Linked DNA regions of Arabidopsis thaliana. The protein of the gene in region 1 interacts with the protein of each later gene in a pairwise test. Each region holds a gene or a part of one and is shown in the gene's direction. Other genes may lie near its edges. The genes, in order: EXO70H7 and TRS120.

Region 1 (4,702 bases):
TTATCCTAGTCGGCAACTTCCACTCGATTCACGTGTTACTTATGTTAAAATCAATCTTTAGATTCTCTCTTTTTCACTGTCTTTTTCCCGTTTTAGAATTGTTTTACTTTTCGACGACAAAAGAAAGAGAAATTATTGCAATTTTCCGTTAGCAAACTAATTTCAGAAACAATGATTAAAATAACATAATTATTCTTCAAACACATAATTTACATGCATATATTATCATGCTACCTTCCTCACGTTGAATTTTGGTAACTGCCGTTTCGTTTGATTGTCGGTTGAATTATCTTTTTAGTTAAAAGTATGGTCGGTTGATTACGGTAATTTTATATCATTTTATGAAATCGCTTTGAGACTAGAGAGCTTAGACAATATCAGAATTTTACCGAATCAAGAGCCGTATTGTCTCCAGTCTTGTTGTTTTCATCTATTCTTAACTAAACACAATTAAAATGACAGTGAAAGTTTTAACTTCTATCCTATATTAAACTTTTAAATTTCTATGATTTTGAATATGATTATGAAATTTAGGATGTAATTTCAACATCTGCTGTGTGTTTATGAATAGTTTTAACTTCACAATAAAATTTTGATTGGGAACATATTTAACTGTACAAAATATTTTAAAATCTGAAGCAAGAGTCTTTAAATTGATTTAATATCTGACTGCTAATTAGATTTATATTTGACACCGATGAAACCTACTGAAAATGGTTTAAGATGGGAAATTTTGTATTGTGTTCTCTTCTCCCCTAATAATTAAAGAGATGGAGAAAACTATGAATTAGTAGTCGTGTTTTGGCAATTTAGGATCTTTGAACATCTGTTAACAAATAAACTGTTGATTTCATTTATGTGGCGGCAGTACGCAATTTTCAACTTATAAGGCAAAGGAACCTTCCTCAAAATCTTCGGTTCCAAAAATACAAATCTAGTAGAAAGCTAACTAACAGTTTGTATCATAAAAAAAGCTAATTGTGTTTTTCCATTACATCCGTTAAATATATTAATACAATACTGATAAAAACTAACTGTAACACACGTACTAACATTCATTTTATTCTAAAATTCATACCACACAAAATTTTGCTGTCCTGATTTGTGCACGAGAGTTTCCAAGAATTTAAGATCATCGTATCACTTATAATATATATTTTATATTCAACAACTCTCTCAAACTAATTGTTTATTGTTTAACCAAGAATCATAGATCATAGATGACGTACTTACTTAGTACTTAACCCAATCAAAGCCAAGGATTTTTCAGTTAAGGGTATATTAGTTTTGCAATTTCGTGACATTTAATATTGACAGTTTTAGGATATAAACATTAATTCTTACGAATCCTACAGATTTACCTTTTGTGATATTTTGGTAATTTGGTTGGTGAATTACTACTAGTGTATTTAATAGCACCTCTTTTCGAAAACGGTAAACTATGCAAAATTCACAGCTGCAGATGAAAGCAGCAATAAATGTAAAAATAAAAACTTCGTCAGAATTGACTTTCCCCAATGTCTTGTCTTATTTGACACCGCGTTTGACTAATCAACCATTCTTCTCCACATATCTATACGTACACTCACATATACGCATATACGTATATTTCATTGAAAAAGCCGTCGTTTCTATAATATATATAGCTCATTCCTCCACCTTCCTCATCTTATCTACTTCACTTTTTGATTACAAAAACCAAACAAACAAACAACAAACCAGAAGTTTTATTTTTGTTAAAGAGTAACCAAAAAAAAAAAACAGAGTACCTTCTTCTTCACACACATAAAAAGAGACGGTACCAAAAAATAAAAACAGAGCAAACCACAAAAATGGGGAAGCATTTATTCCGATCATCTCCTCCACCGGAGAAACCAACAGCTCATCTCTCTCTCGCGGAATCAGCTGTTCAAGAATGTATGAGCAACATCAACACCGTCATATCAAAATGGACTTCTCCGGCTGCTTCTTCCTCCGACGACTTCCTCTTCTCCACCAACAGTCGTCGTGAAGCAGAGGAGTTTGTTACAGCCGTTAGACATCTACAAAGCACGATGCATCGTTTGGTTTCCGTTAACCCTTCCTCGGAGAAGCTAATCTACGCACAGAATCTAATGCAATCGGCGATGAAGCTTCTCGAATCAGAGTTTCATCGTGTTTTAAAAGCGAACCGTGAGTATTTAGATCCTGAATGTGTCTCTGTACGTTCTTACAGATCATCGAGATTCAGTACTTCGACTACGACTAGTGTCTCCGATTCCGAAGACGAAAGCAGTTACGAAGAAAACGCCGACGAAGAGCATAGATTCTCCGGTGGAGATTCCGACGCAATGGATGATCTCAAGATGATTGCTGATTGTATGATCTCTACCGGCTACGCTAAGGAATGCGTTAGGGTTTATAAAACCGTACGGAAATCGATTGTTGATGAGACGCTGCATAATCTGCAAATGGAGAGATTCAATCTTCATCAGGTTCAGAAAATGGATTGGGAGATTCTCGAATCAAAGATCAAAACATGGCTAAAAGCTGTGAAATTAGCTGTTAGAAAATTGTTCTTCGGTGAGAGGATTTTAGCTGATCATGTTTTCTCTTCCTCTGGTTTAATCGTTGAATCTTCTTTCACTGAGATTACTCAAGAAGGAGCATTGATTCTCTTCACTTTCCCGGAATATGCTTCCAAGATCAAAAAGTTAACTCCGGAGAAAATGTTTCGGTTTCTGGATATGTATGAAGCTCTTGCGAATCTCTATGTTGAGATTGAATCAATCTTCTACTTCGAATCAGCTGCTGCGGTTAGATCTCAGGTGATAAACTCGTTAGCTAGACTCGGCGATGCGACGAGGTTGATGATGACGGATTTCGAATCGGCGATTCAGAAAGAAACCTCGAAGACTCCGATCATCGGTGGTGGTGTTCATCCTCTGACTCGTTACGTTATGAATTACCTCTCCTTCCTCGCTGATTACAGTGATTCCATCGCTGCGATATTCGAAAACTGGAAGCTGAGTGTGCCGACGCCGTTGCCGGATTCTTTATACATAAGCGGCGGCGATGAAGCGAATCCGGAGGATCTGTATTCGTCTCCGGTCTCTGTACGTATCGCTTGGGTGATTTTACTCACGCTTTGTAAAATCGACGGTAAAGCTCAGCCGTATAAAGACGTTGCTTTGTCTTATCTCTTCCTCGCTAACAATCTCCAATACGTCGTCGTTAAAGTCCGATCGTCGACTCTGAAGGTTCTTCTCGGAGACGATTGGGTGTTTAGGCATGAAGAGAAGGTGAAGCTGTATGCTGATAAGTTTGAGAAGCTTGCGTGGGGGAAAGTGCTGGATTTACTACCGGAGATTCCGACGGATGAGATTTCGCCGGAGGAAGCTAAGGTTTTGGTGGCGAGATTCAACGATGAGTTTGAGACGTCGTACCGGAAACAGACTTCGTGGGTTATACCCGACCCGAAACTTAGGGACCAGATTAAAATCACGTTGAGTCAGAAACTTATGCTGGTTTGTACCGAGTTTTACCGGATGAACCGGTTTGCATATGGTATGGTTGGAGATAATGAGGCTATTTCCAGATATACCCCTGAAGATATTGGGAATTACCTCTCGGATCTTTACTTTGGGTCTAGAGGCTCAGGGAGTGTTTCGACAGCTGGTGGGTCTGGATCCGGATCCGGATCCGGAACTGGTTCGTCGAGTACGGGTAAAGCTCGTGGCGGACGTAGTAGTCATTGAATGAGAATCTCGTGATATTAGTTTTTTTTTTTTCTTTTCTTTAATTTGTGTGGTTATAATGTAACCTATAGTGATTGATGTGTCGAATATCTTATTCAATTATGTGTGTACAGATATATGTTGAATTATTGAGCTCTTCTTTTCTTAAAAGCAAATCATTCGATTACTTTTGGAACTTTGTGATTTTATCAACGACAAAAGAAAGTACAAAGATTATTGAGCAAATAGACAATTAGACATATACGTAAAAGACAATCATAAGTAGCTCTCACTCGTGAATCTTTTGACTAACTGTAATTTTTTTGGTGGTATATAACTTCATGTTGGTACGAGTCCACATTCCACAATACAATAAAAATAAAAGTAAAAAACAAATTGCAAATGCAAATTGCTTATGAAATAAATACGAAGCTGACATTATTAGTACATAGACTACCAAAAAATTCTAAGAAACAGAAAGGTCGACACGATAGGAGGGTCGGTGAATCTAATCAGGTTCGCATTAATGCTTTAATTAGGCGATTCCCGATACGTAGTCTCACGTTACAATTAGTACTAAAATAAACGTAAACCGAACTTAATCTCCTCATTATGTGCCATGTTTTAAATCATTTGTTTTGCGGTTATTACGCTTACTTTTTTCTACATCTTTATTTTATAAAATAGATCATGAAATAGCATGATGAAGGGAGGTTTATAGGTCCCTCGCCTCGTTTTACTCTATGAGCCCATCTTATCTTTAATCATATTCCATAGTCCATACCATAGCACATACAGTAGTTATATGCTGCAGAAGAGATCCAACAAAACATTCACAATGGATTATAGAAACATTTGTTTATTCATTATAATGAGATCTTACATTCATTTAATATTAGAAAAAGCCACAAATTCATAACACAACAAGCCAAGAAAAAAACACAAACTTAAGCACACAAGCTTTTTATTTGACACACCAAATATTT
Region 2 (8,246 bases), about 21 Mb from region 1:
GGAGATCTTTGCACAGATGAATAAAAGCGATGCACCCAAGCTGATGTCAGGGAAAGAGGTGATAAACTCATCATCATCTGTTCATTTTACAACCATGAGACATGTGATACGAGAACAGATGCGTGTTATTGAGAAATCAGGAAGAAGTGTTTTTGAGTATTGAGAGTAACCTCCAGCAACCGTGCTCATTAATTTTTCAGTGTCATTCCCCGTGATTAAACCAAGATGTGTTAAACCACAGGATGTCAAGAACGGTTCTAACTGAATCACCAGAGGAATACAAGAGGCCGCTTTGTCTCTGATGCTAACTGAAATAATAGCCTGCAAAACCAGACCAAATCTAAGGTATTGAAGAAAATCTATATGCTCATAATAAAAGAGAAAAGTCAGAAAAGTTCCATGATATCGAAACAAAGTTGGAATCAAGTACAAACCGTTATCTGTATCACATAGAGACAAAGTAGACAACGGACTTTTGCTTCTTCTTCGTTATTCTGTAAAACAAAGAAAAGAGATCAAATCAGGCAAAACGAATATTCAAATTAGAGAATTTACACTTTGGGTAGTGATTTAGGGAATCCTAATTGCCAATTTATCAAACTTACAGACCAGTTTTGAAGAAACGTCTCGAATTGAAGAGGCAATGCCTAGAGCCTTATCAAATAAATCTTCAACTTGCACGTCTGTTTCCAATGAAATGTCCTTCAAAACGTTCAGGACAATTGGAACTGCAACCTTTAATTGCTCGTAGTGACGCCTCTGGATCAAAATAAATACTGAAACCAGGAAATTTGAATAACTTTTTACTGCTTCAGTTCACGAAGACTAAATTAATATCTTCAGTAACAAAACTAGTTAGGGATTCAAACACAAACTTTAAGATATTCATACTTAAGTACAATCAAAGCAAGAGTATTACTAAAATTGCAGGTGCCAAGCTAAAATTCACTTTCATGAGAGAAGTCTATAAATTTTAGGATATTCATACTTGTGTACAATCAAAGCAAGAGTATTACTAAAACTGCAGGTGCCAGGCTAAAATTCACTTTCATGAGAGGAGTCTATAAATATCTTGAAAACGAGAAATCTTCAACTGGTACCTTTAGAGAGCCCATGCAATAAAGGAGTAGAACAAGTGGAGGCTGAATGATAGCACCGTGCAGCATCGAGTGCCTGGTTCAGAGTCATAAGGTGATCAAAAAGAACTTGTAATCTTCTTATGCCAAATACCAAGAAGGAAAAAGAAATTCCAGATCAATTACCTCACAAAGAATTGAAAGCATATCCCGTGGATTGCATGCTTCCACAAACCGATCAACGATTTCCTCAACTAACTGTAAACATCTGCTTGATATGTCTGCAAACTTGGAAGTTACTTTTGGCAAGTGAAATGACAGTGCATCTATAACATCCTGTAATAAAATGAATCGGGGAACAAAATCATAAGCTTGGTTCTCTAAACAAAATCCTTCCGTTTGGCTTTGAAAGCGATTCGAAAACTGAAAAGTACCTGATCCATTTGAGGAGATGATAAAACTTTCAAAATTTCATCTAATACTTCTTCAATAACATCGTTCTCCAGTTCATTGTTAGCATCCAAAGCTACGTTCTCATACAAAGAATCCAAACAGCTGACAAGTTCTGTCACAAAACTCTCAAAGTCTTGAAATCCTCCGGCTTCTTCAACTGACTGAAAAATCACAAAATTAGCGGCGAATTTTTCATTCGAGCTCCAAAAATCACGAAACAGCTAAGTATTCATCGATCTCAAAGCATCTAGAAATTCCACCCAGAAAACAAATTACACAAACCCGAAACGAGGAGAAGAAGAAGAGAGAAAGCTTACACTGAAACACAAAGCTAAAAGTTCTCGTACACGACGCGAAGGAGAAGTAGTGACAGTAGTTGACTCGGAGCTCCCTTCAATGGACGATTCCATAACGCCAAAACTTTTCAATTTCGCCCAAGTTTCGTTCACAGTGAGAGTATTAATAATCGCGAATTTAACCATATCGTTTGGTTATATGAATAGAGTTTAACCCCGGATAGTCTAATTCTAACTAAGAATAGTTTAATACCTGTACCCAAACAGACCACGTTCTCTCTCTCAACACTTTCTCGTTTTCGTCTCCTTCAGATCCGGTGCACTCACGCTCACCGAAAGATCCTCACTCTCCTTCTCTGATCTCGCCATGGAACCTGACGTCAGTATCGAGACTTTGTCGATCATTCGGATCGCCGTCCTTCCGATCGGCACTATTCCGCCGACGCTTCTCCGGGACTACCACTCGATGCTGCTCCGTCATCACACGATCGCGCTCTCAGCTATTAGCTCTTTCTACACTGAACATCAGAAATCTCCATTCACGAATCAGCCGTGGGATTCCGGCTCTCTCCGGTTCAAATTTGTGCTTGGTGGTTCTCCTCCGAGTCCTTGGGAGGATTTTCAGTCTAATCGGAAGATGCTCGCCGTGATCGGCCTTTGCCACTGTCCCTCGTCCCCTGATCTTGATTCTGTCACTGAAAAATTCAATGTCGCTTGTAAGAGTTATTCCTCGGCTCTTGTCCGGCGCTGCTTCGCTTTCTCCCCTGGCGATTCGCAAGTAAGTATATTAGTTTCCATGCTTCTTATCTGCTATGGCATTCTTAGCTCGATGCCGATGGATCTAGCTAGCTTTTTTCTGATTTGTCTCTACAGTTGATAGTGATGTCCATTTTTTGTACCAGTGATTTAGTTACTTGCTTATGGATGCGTTAGATTGACGATTTACTGAACAATGTACTGTCTTTTGCAGCTTGAAGATGGAGACAAGAAGGGTGAAAATTTGATTTTGTTTCCTCCATCTGACAAGCAAACTCAGGAGTTTCATTTACAAACAATGATGCAAGACATTGCCGCTTCGCTGTTAATGGAATTTGAGAAGTGGGTTCTTCAGGCAGAATCTGCTGGCACAATTTTGAAGACGCCTTTGGATTCCCAAGCTAGTCTCAACTCAGAGGAGGTTTATGTCTAGGTGTCCTATAATTTGGTCTACGTTTCATTTCTTCCTCTGGAAGCTTATAACTTATTAGCATAGTCTTCTAGGCTCACTAGTTTTGTTTAATGCAGGTTATTAAGGCCAAAAAGCGTAGGCTGGGACGTGCACAAAAAACTATAGGAGACTATTCCTTGTTGGCTGGTTCACCTGTTGATGCCAATGCTCATTATTCTACTGCTCTGGAACTGGCCAGATTGACTGGAGATTACTTCTGGTATGCCGGTGCCTTGGAAGGCAGTGTTTGTGCCTTACTGGTAAGGCTTTATGCAAATATATCTCTAAATGCATTGTTCTTACATTTTTAATAGTATTATAGTCCAAAAACATGGATAGTGATGTGCTGTTTATCGAAAGTGCACTGATTATGAAATTGCTCTCATCTGTCCCTCTTTAATTAAGTTTGCAATCATCTTAGTTTTCCGTTTTCTTAATATTAGGTAGATCGGATGGGTCAACGTGATGTGGCTTTAGAAGATGAAGTTAGATATCGATACACTAATGTTATCTTGCACTACAGAAAGTCATTTATTCAAGAAATTGCTCAGAGGTAATTCTACCAACCTGTTTGGCTTTCTTCTTCGATAAACTTAAGTAATAGCAATCAATTCTCTTCCTTGCAGAGTTTCGCCCCTAAGCTTTGAACTCGAAGCTACCCTTAAGCTGGCCAGATTCCTTTGCAGGTATCATTGTATGCTCTCTATTTCTTTAAATTATCATGGTGTGGTTTCCTTTCTTGCCGTCTCCTGCTTAAGTTTAAGGTTGCTATGGTATTTTTGTCTAGTAGGAAGCTATATCGCTACTAAAATTTAAATATAAACTCATGGGATCTTGTGTGTGTGTGGCTTTGATCCTCTAAAACTATCTGCAACATTCAACTTATAATACCAATATATTGAGATTACTATTAAGTATTAAGTGGCCTAGTGGAGGATGGCTGTATGTTAATGTTTTGTGATTGATGGTGATGTTAGCTGGGAAAAGAATAATTATTACGTTTTGAAAAAGCTAAAATACATGGGTTTTCCGTTTAGTATGAAATGATACTCTCTGGTTGTGGCAGCTTTTATGTTTTTTTAACCTTCTGGTTGCATCCTCATTTTTTTCTTGGTATCTTTGATCTTAATCATTCTTACAATGTCATTTTATGTGTTGTGCAGGAGGGAACTGGCTAAGGAAGTAGTAGAGCTATTAACAAATGCAGCTGATGGTGCAAAGTCTTTAATTGATGCCAGTGATAGGCTCATATTATATGTTGAAGTAGCGCGTTTATTTGGAGCCCTTGGTTATCAACGGAAAGCAGCCTTCTTCTGTAGGCAGGTCGCCCAATTGTATTTGCAGCAAGACAATCGATTGGCTGCTATCAGTGCCATGCAAGTTCTCTCTATGACAACTGATGCATACAGAATTCAAAGTAGGGCATCCATGTCAAAAGTGTCGGTTAACAATGTGAGTTTGCCAGCATAGGCATTATTTTTCCTCTCTTGTGTTTGATTGAGCATGGTTTTCTGGAGTTTTTTTTGTTATCATCACTTTTCACTATCTTGGTATTTATCCATGTATCATACTTTGATAATATATTGTATCTTCTCTTGTGTTTGTTGGTAAAGGAAACTGGGCGCCTACCTGACGCTGGGAAAATGCATCATCATTCCATTGTCTCCCTGTTCGAGTCCCATTGGAGCACTTTGCAGATGGTTGTGCTTAGGGAGATACTCCTCTCTGCTGTTCGTGCTGGAGATCCCTTAGCTGCATGGAGTGCTGCAGCTAGGCTTCTGAGGTGGCATTATCCTCTAATTACACCTTCAGGTCAAAATGGACTTGCTAATTCCCTTGCAAATTCAGCGGATAGATTACCTTCTGGAACTCGCTGTGCTGACCCTGCCTTGCCTTTTGTAAGGTATGTTTATCAGCAGTCAACCTTTTTGCTCTCAGAGATGTTTTGCTTGTGCACTCTCACCATCATGAAACAACCTAACTTGGTCATGTTATATTTCCTAGCACTCTAAGTAGAGCAACGAGATCAGAAAAATAAGTAATAATCTCTTTTAATCCATCTCTTGGGCTTCATATATGCCCAATATGTGTTTATTTTCAGGAATGTGTTCCATGTTTGGTTCTTAGCTGACTCTGGCAAAACTGTGTATGTTTTGGCAAATTTTAATGGTTCTTCTAAGCATGATTATTTTAATGAAATTTCAGGCTATTCTCTTTCCCACTCCATTCCTCCCAAGTGGACATCGTAAAACGCAATCCAGCAAGAGAAGATTGGTGGACAGGCTCTGCTCCTTCTGGGCCATTTATTTACACTCCTTTCAGCAAAGGAGATGCCAACGAAAGTAGCAAGCAGGAATTGATTTGGGTGGTCGGTGAACCAGTTCAGGTCTTAGTGGAGTTAGCAAATCCTTGTTGCTTCGATTTGCGGATTGATAGTATTTATCTCTCAGCTCACTCGAGTAACTTTGATGCGTTTCCTGTCAGTGTGGACATTCCCCCTAACTCTGCAAAAGTGATCACATTATCTGGTATTCCAACAGCTGTAGGACCAGTGACAATTCCAGGCTGCACAGTTCACTGCTTTGGTGTAATCACTGAACATGTGTTCAGGGATGTTGACAATCTGCTTCTTGGAGCAGCACAAGGACTTGTATTTTCTGACCCTTTCAGATCCTGCGGATCTGCAAAGCTACGACATGTATTTGTTCCTAACATATCAGTTGCTCCTCCATTGCCCCTCCTTGTGGCTAATGTTGTGGGTGGTGATGGTGCAATTATTCTGTATGAAGGTGAAATTCGGGAGGTGTGTATAAATTTTGCAAATGCTGGCACAGTTCCAATAGTACAGGCACATGTCTCGCTCTCTGGAAAGAATCAGGATGCTGTTATCTCGATCGCAGATGAAGCTTTACAGTCTGCTCTTCCCTTGAAACCTGGGGCACAAGTGACTCTGCCTGTGACTTTAAAAGCTTGGCATGTGGGTCCAACTGATTCTGACAATACTATGAGCAGTGGCAGGAATGCTGCGGGTAACACAGGAAGACCAAAAGACGGAACCAGTCCATCATTGCTTATTCACTACGCAGGTATTCATTTCTTCCTTGACGTATGTTTCTATGTATCTTACTTTTTCAGTGCTTCATGTATCCTCACGATGACTAATTACTAAAAGCATTTTTGTATTCATATTTTTGCAGGGCCATTGTCTAACAATGGGGATTCCCAAGAAAAAGAATCTATCGTGCCACCGGGCAGACGGCTTGTTGTTCCCTTACAAATTTGTGTTTTGCAAGGTTTGTCGTTTGTGAAAGCTCGTTTGCTTTCCATGGAAATCCCTGCACATGTGAGTGACAACCTTCGGGATGAAGACATTGAAAGAGAGAGCAATGCAGACAGCCTTGTCAAGATCAATCCCTTTAGGGGAAGCTGGGGACTACGGTTTCTTGAACTTGAGTTATCTAACCCAACAGATGTTGTTTTTGAAATCAGCGTCTTCGTTCAGCTGGAAAACTCTGCCAAGGAAGATGATTCTTCACCAGTACAAGATTCTCCAGAGTATGAATACCCGAAAACAAGAATCGACCGGGACTATTCTGCTAGGGTACTGATTCCATTGGAGCATTTTAAGCTACCGGTTCTTGATGGTTCATTCTTCACAAAGGACCCTCCACCTGGTAGCCCTTCAAGTAGTAGAAATCCGAGCTTCTCAGAGAAGAACACGAAAGCTGAGATAAACACATTGATCAAGAATCTCATCTCTAAGATAAAAGTTCGGTGGCAATCAGGAAGGAACAGCTCAGGAGAACTGGACATCAAGGATGCAATTCAGACAGCTCTCCAGACGACTGTGATGGATGTTTTGCTCCCAGATCCGCTAACATTTGGTTTCAGACTGGTCAGAAACGGTCTGGAGAAGGATCCTGAGACAAAGGCTGAGTCCCCATTTTCAAAGGGATCTGTTCTGTCACATGAAGTCACTCCTATGGAGGTTCTGGTCCGCAATAACACTAGCGAAGCTATCAAGTTGAATCTAAGTGTTACTTGCAGAGATGTAGCTGGACAGAACTGCACTGAAGGAGCTGATGCCACTGTCCTCTGGGCTGGTAAGATTCCTGTCACTAAGTAATAAATATTTGTGTAACATAGATATTTGCTGCCATTATAGCCGTGTGTATTACAATGAGATATGTAAAAGGTGGCTTATACTTTTGTCAGGTGCTCTTAGTGGAATCTCAATGGAAGTAGCGCCGCTGCAAGAAGCAAGACACTGTTTCTCACTCTTCTTCCTTGTTCCAGGAGAGTACACGATGGTAGCAGCTGCTGTAATTGAAGACGCTAACAATGTACTCAGAGCACGAGCAGGAACTGCTTCTCCAAACGAACCCATCTTCTGTCGTGGACCGCCTTTTCATGTCTGTGTAGCTGGAGGTGCACTGTGATTCGTTAACCAAATCAGGTCTTGGCATTATAATTTATACTCTGTTTTTTGCTCTGTTAGTTGATTTCTCGAGAATCAATTATAAGTTCCGGGTTTAAGTATGGGTCTTTATAAATATCTCTATAATTGCTTGTGTGTTTGTCTCTGTATTTACCTTGGGTCATCTTATGACCACCATGCATAGACTATGCTTTTTTGGAATTTTACGGCCTCGGTTCTGAGACTACTTTTCTCAAAGTAAGTGTTTGTACTCTGCTCAGTGGGATCACTTTCAGTGATAAAAAGAATAAAACGATTATAGCATAATATTAGCAAAAATAAAACTATTTAACCATGAATTCCTTCCCTATTGTGTATTGAAAAGGTCCACAGAGCAATGACATAACTTTCACCGTCAAATAAATACCATTCATTGATATAATCAAACAAGGCAGTGAAGTTTCCCCAAAGCTCGTATGTCGTGTATTAGTGGCCTTACGGATTAATCAATAACTAAAAAATAATACAATAATTTACTTTAGAAATAGTTACGATTATTAATTTAAAGCAAAAAAAAACTGACACAAAGTATCTTTGGCTAAAGAGGATTGTCCTATTCTATTGCGTTTGTTATTTTAAAATTCTGTGCAATTTATCTTTTTGGCTGAAAGACATGAACGAAGTTTGGTTTCATTTTGTGGTTGTAATACGCTTTCATGAGGTTATGAATATATTTTAGTCAATTACTACGTACCAATAATAATTTGGAAAAACCACCCACCAGCTATGTATGTTTG

Evidence for each region.
Region 2: the proteins of EXO70H7 (region 1) and TRS120 interact in a two-hybrid assay, tested with the Arabidopsis thaliana proteins (one study listed by BioGRID).

What each region holds. Positions count from the first base shown.
Region 1 is NC_003076.8:24,063,135-24,067,836, reverse strand, and holds EXO70H7 (exocyst subunit exo70 family protein H7), read left to right. Parts: upstream 1-1,666; 5' UTR 1,667-1,832; coding exon 1,833-3,737; coding exon of another isoform or gene 3,738-3,741; 3' UTR 3,742-3,960; downstream 3,961-4,702.
Region 2 is NC_003076.8:3,493,140-3,501,385, forward strand, and holds TRS120 (TRS120), read left to right. Parts: upstream 1-2,055; 5' UTR 2,056-2,192; coding exon 2,193-2,603; intron 2,604-2,795; coding exon 2,796-3,002; intron 3,003-3,109; coding exon 3,110-3,292; intron 3,293-3,475; coding exon 3,476-3,585; intron 3,586-3,658; coding exon 3,659-3,718; intron 3,719-4,195; coding exon 4,196-4,484; intron 4,485-4,645; coding exon 4,646-4,935; intron 4,936-5,237; coding exon 5,238-6,118; intron 6,119-6,229; coding exon 6,230-7,135; intron 7,136-7,247; coding exon 7,248-7,471; 3' UTR 7,472-7,806; downstream 7,807-8,246. Other genes in the region: ALF4 (aberrant root formation protein), read right to left, coding at 1-77, 171-321, 435-494, 610-776, 1,101-1,173, 1,263-1,412, 1,511-1,690, 1,847-2,011. UniProt on the Arabidopsis thaliana protein: Specific subunit of the TRAPP II complex, a highly conserved vesicle tethering complex that is required for the proper transport of proteins in post-Golgi trafficking pathways to the growing cell plate in mitotic active cells.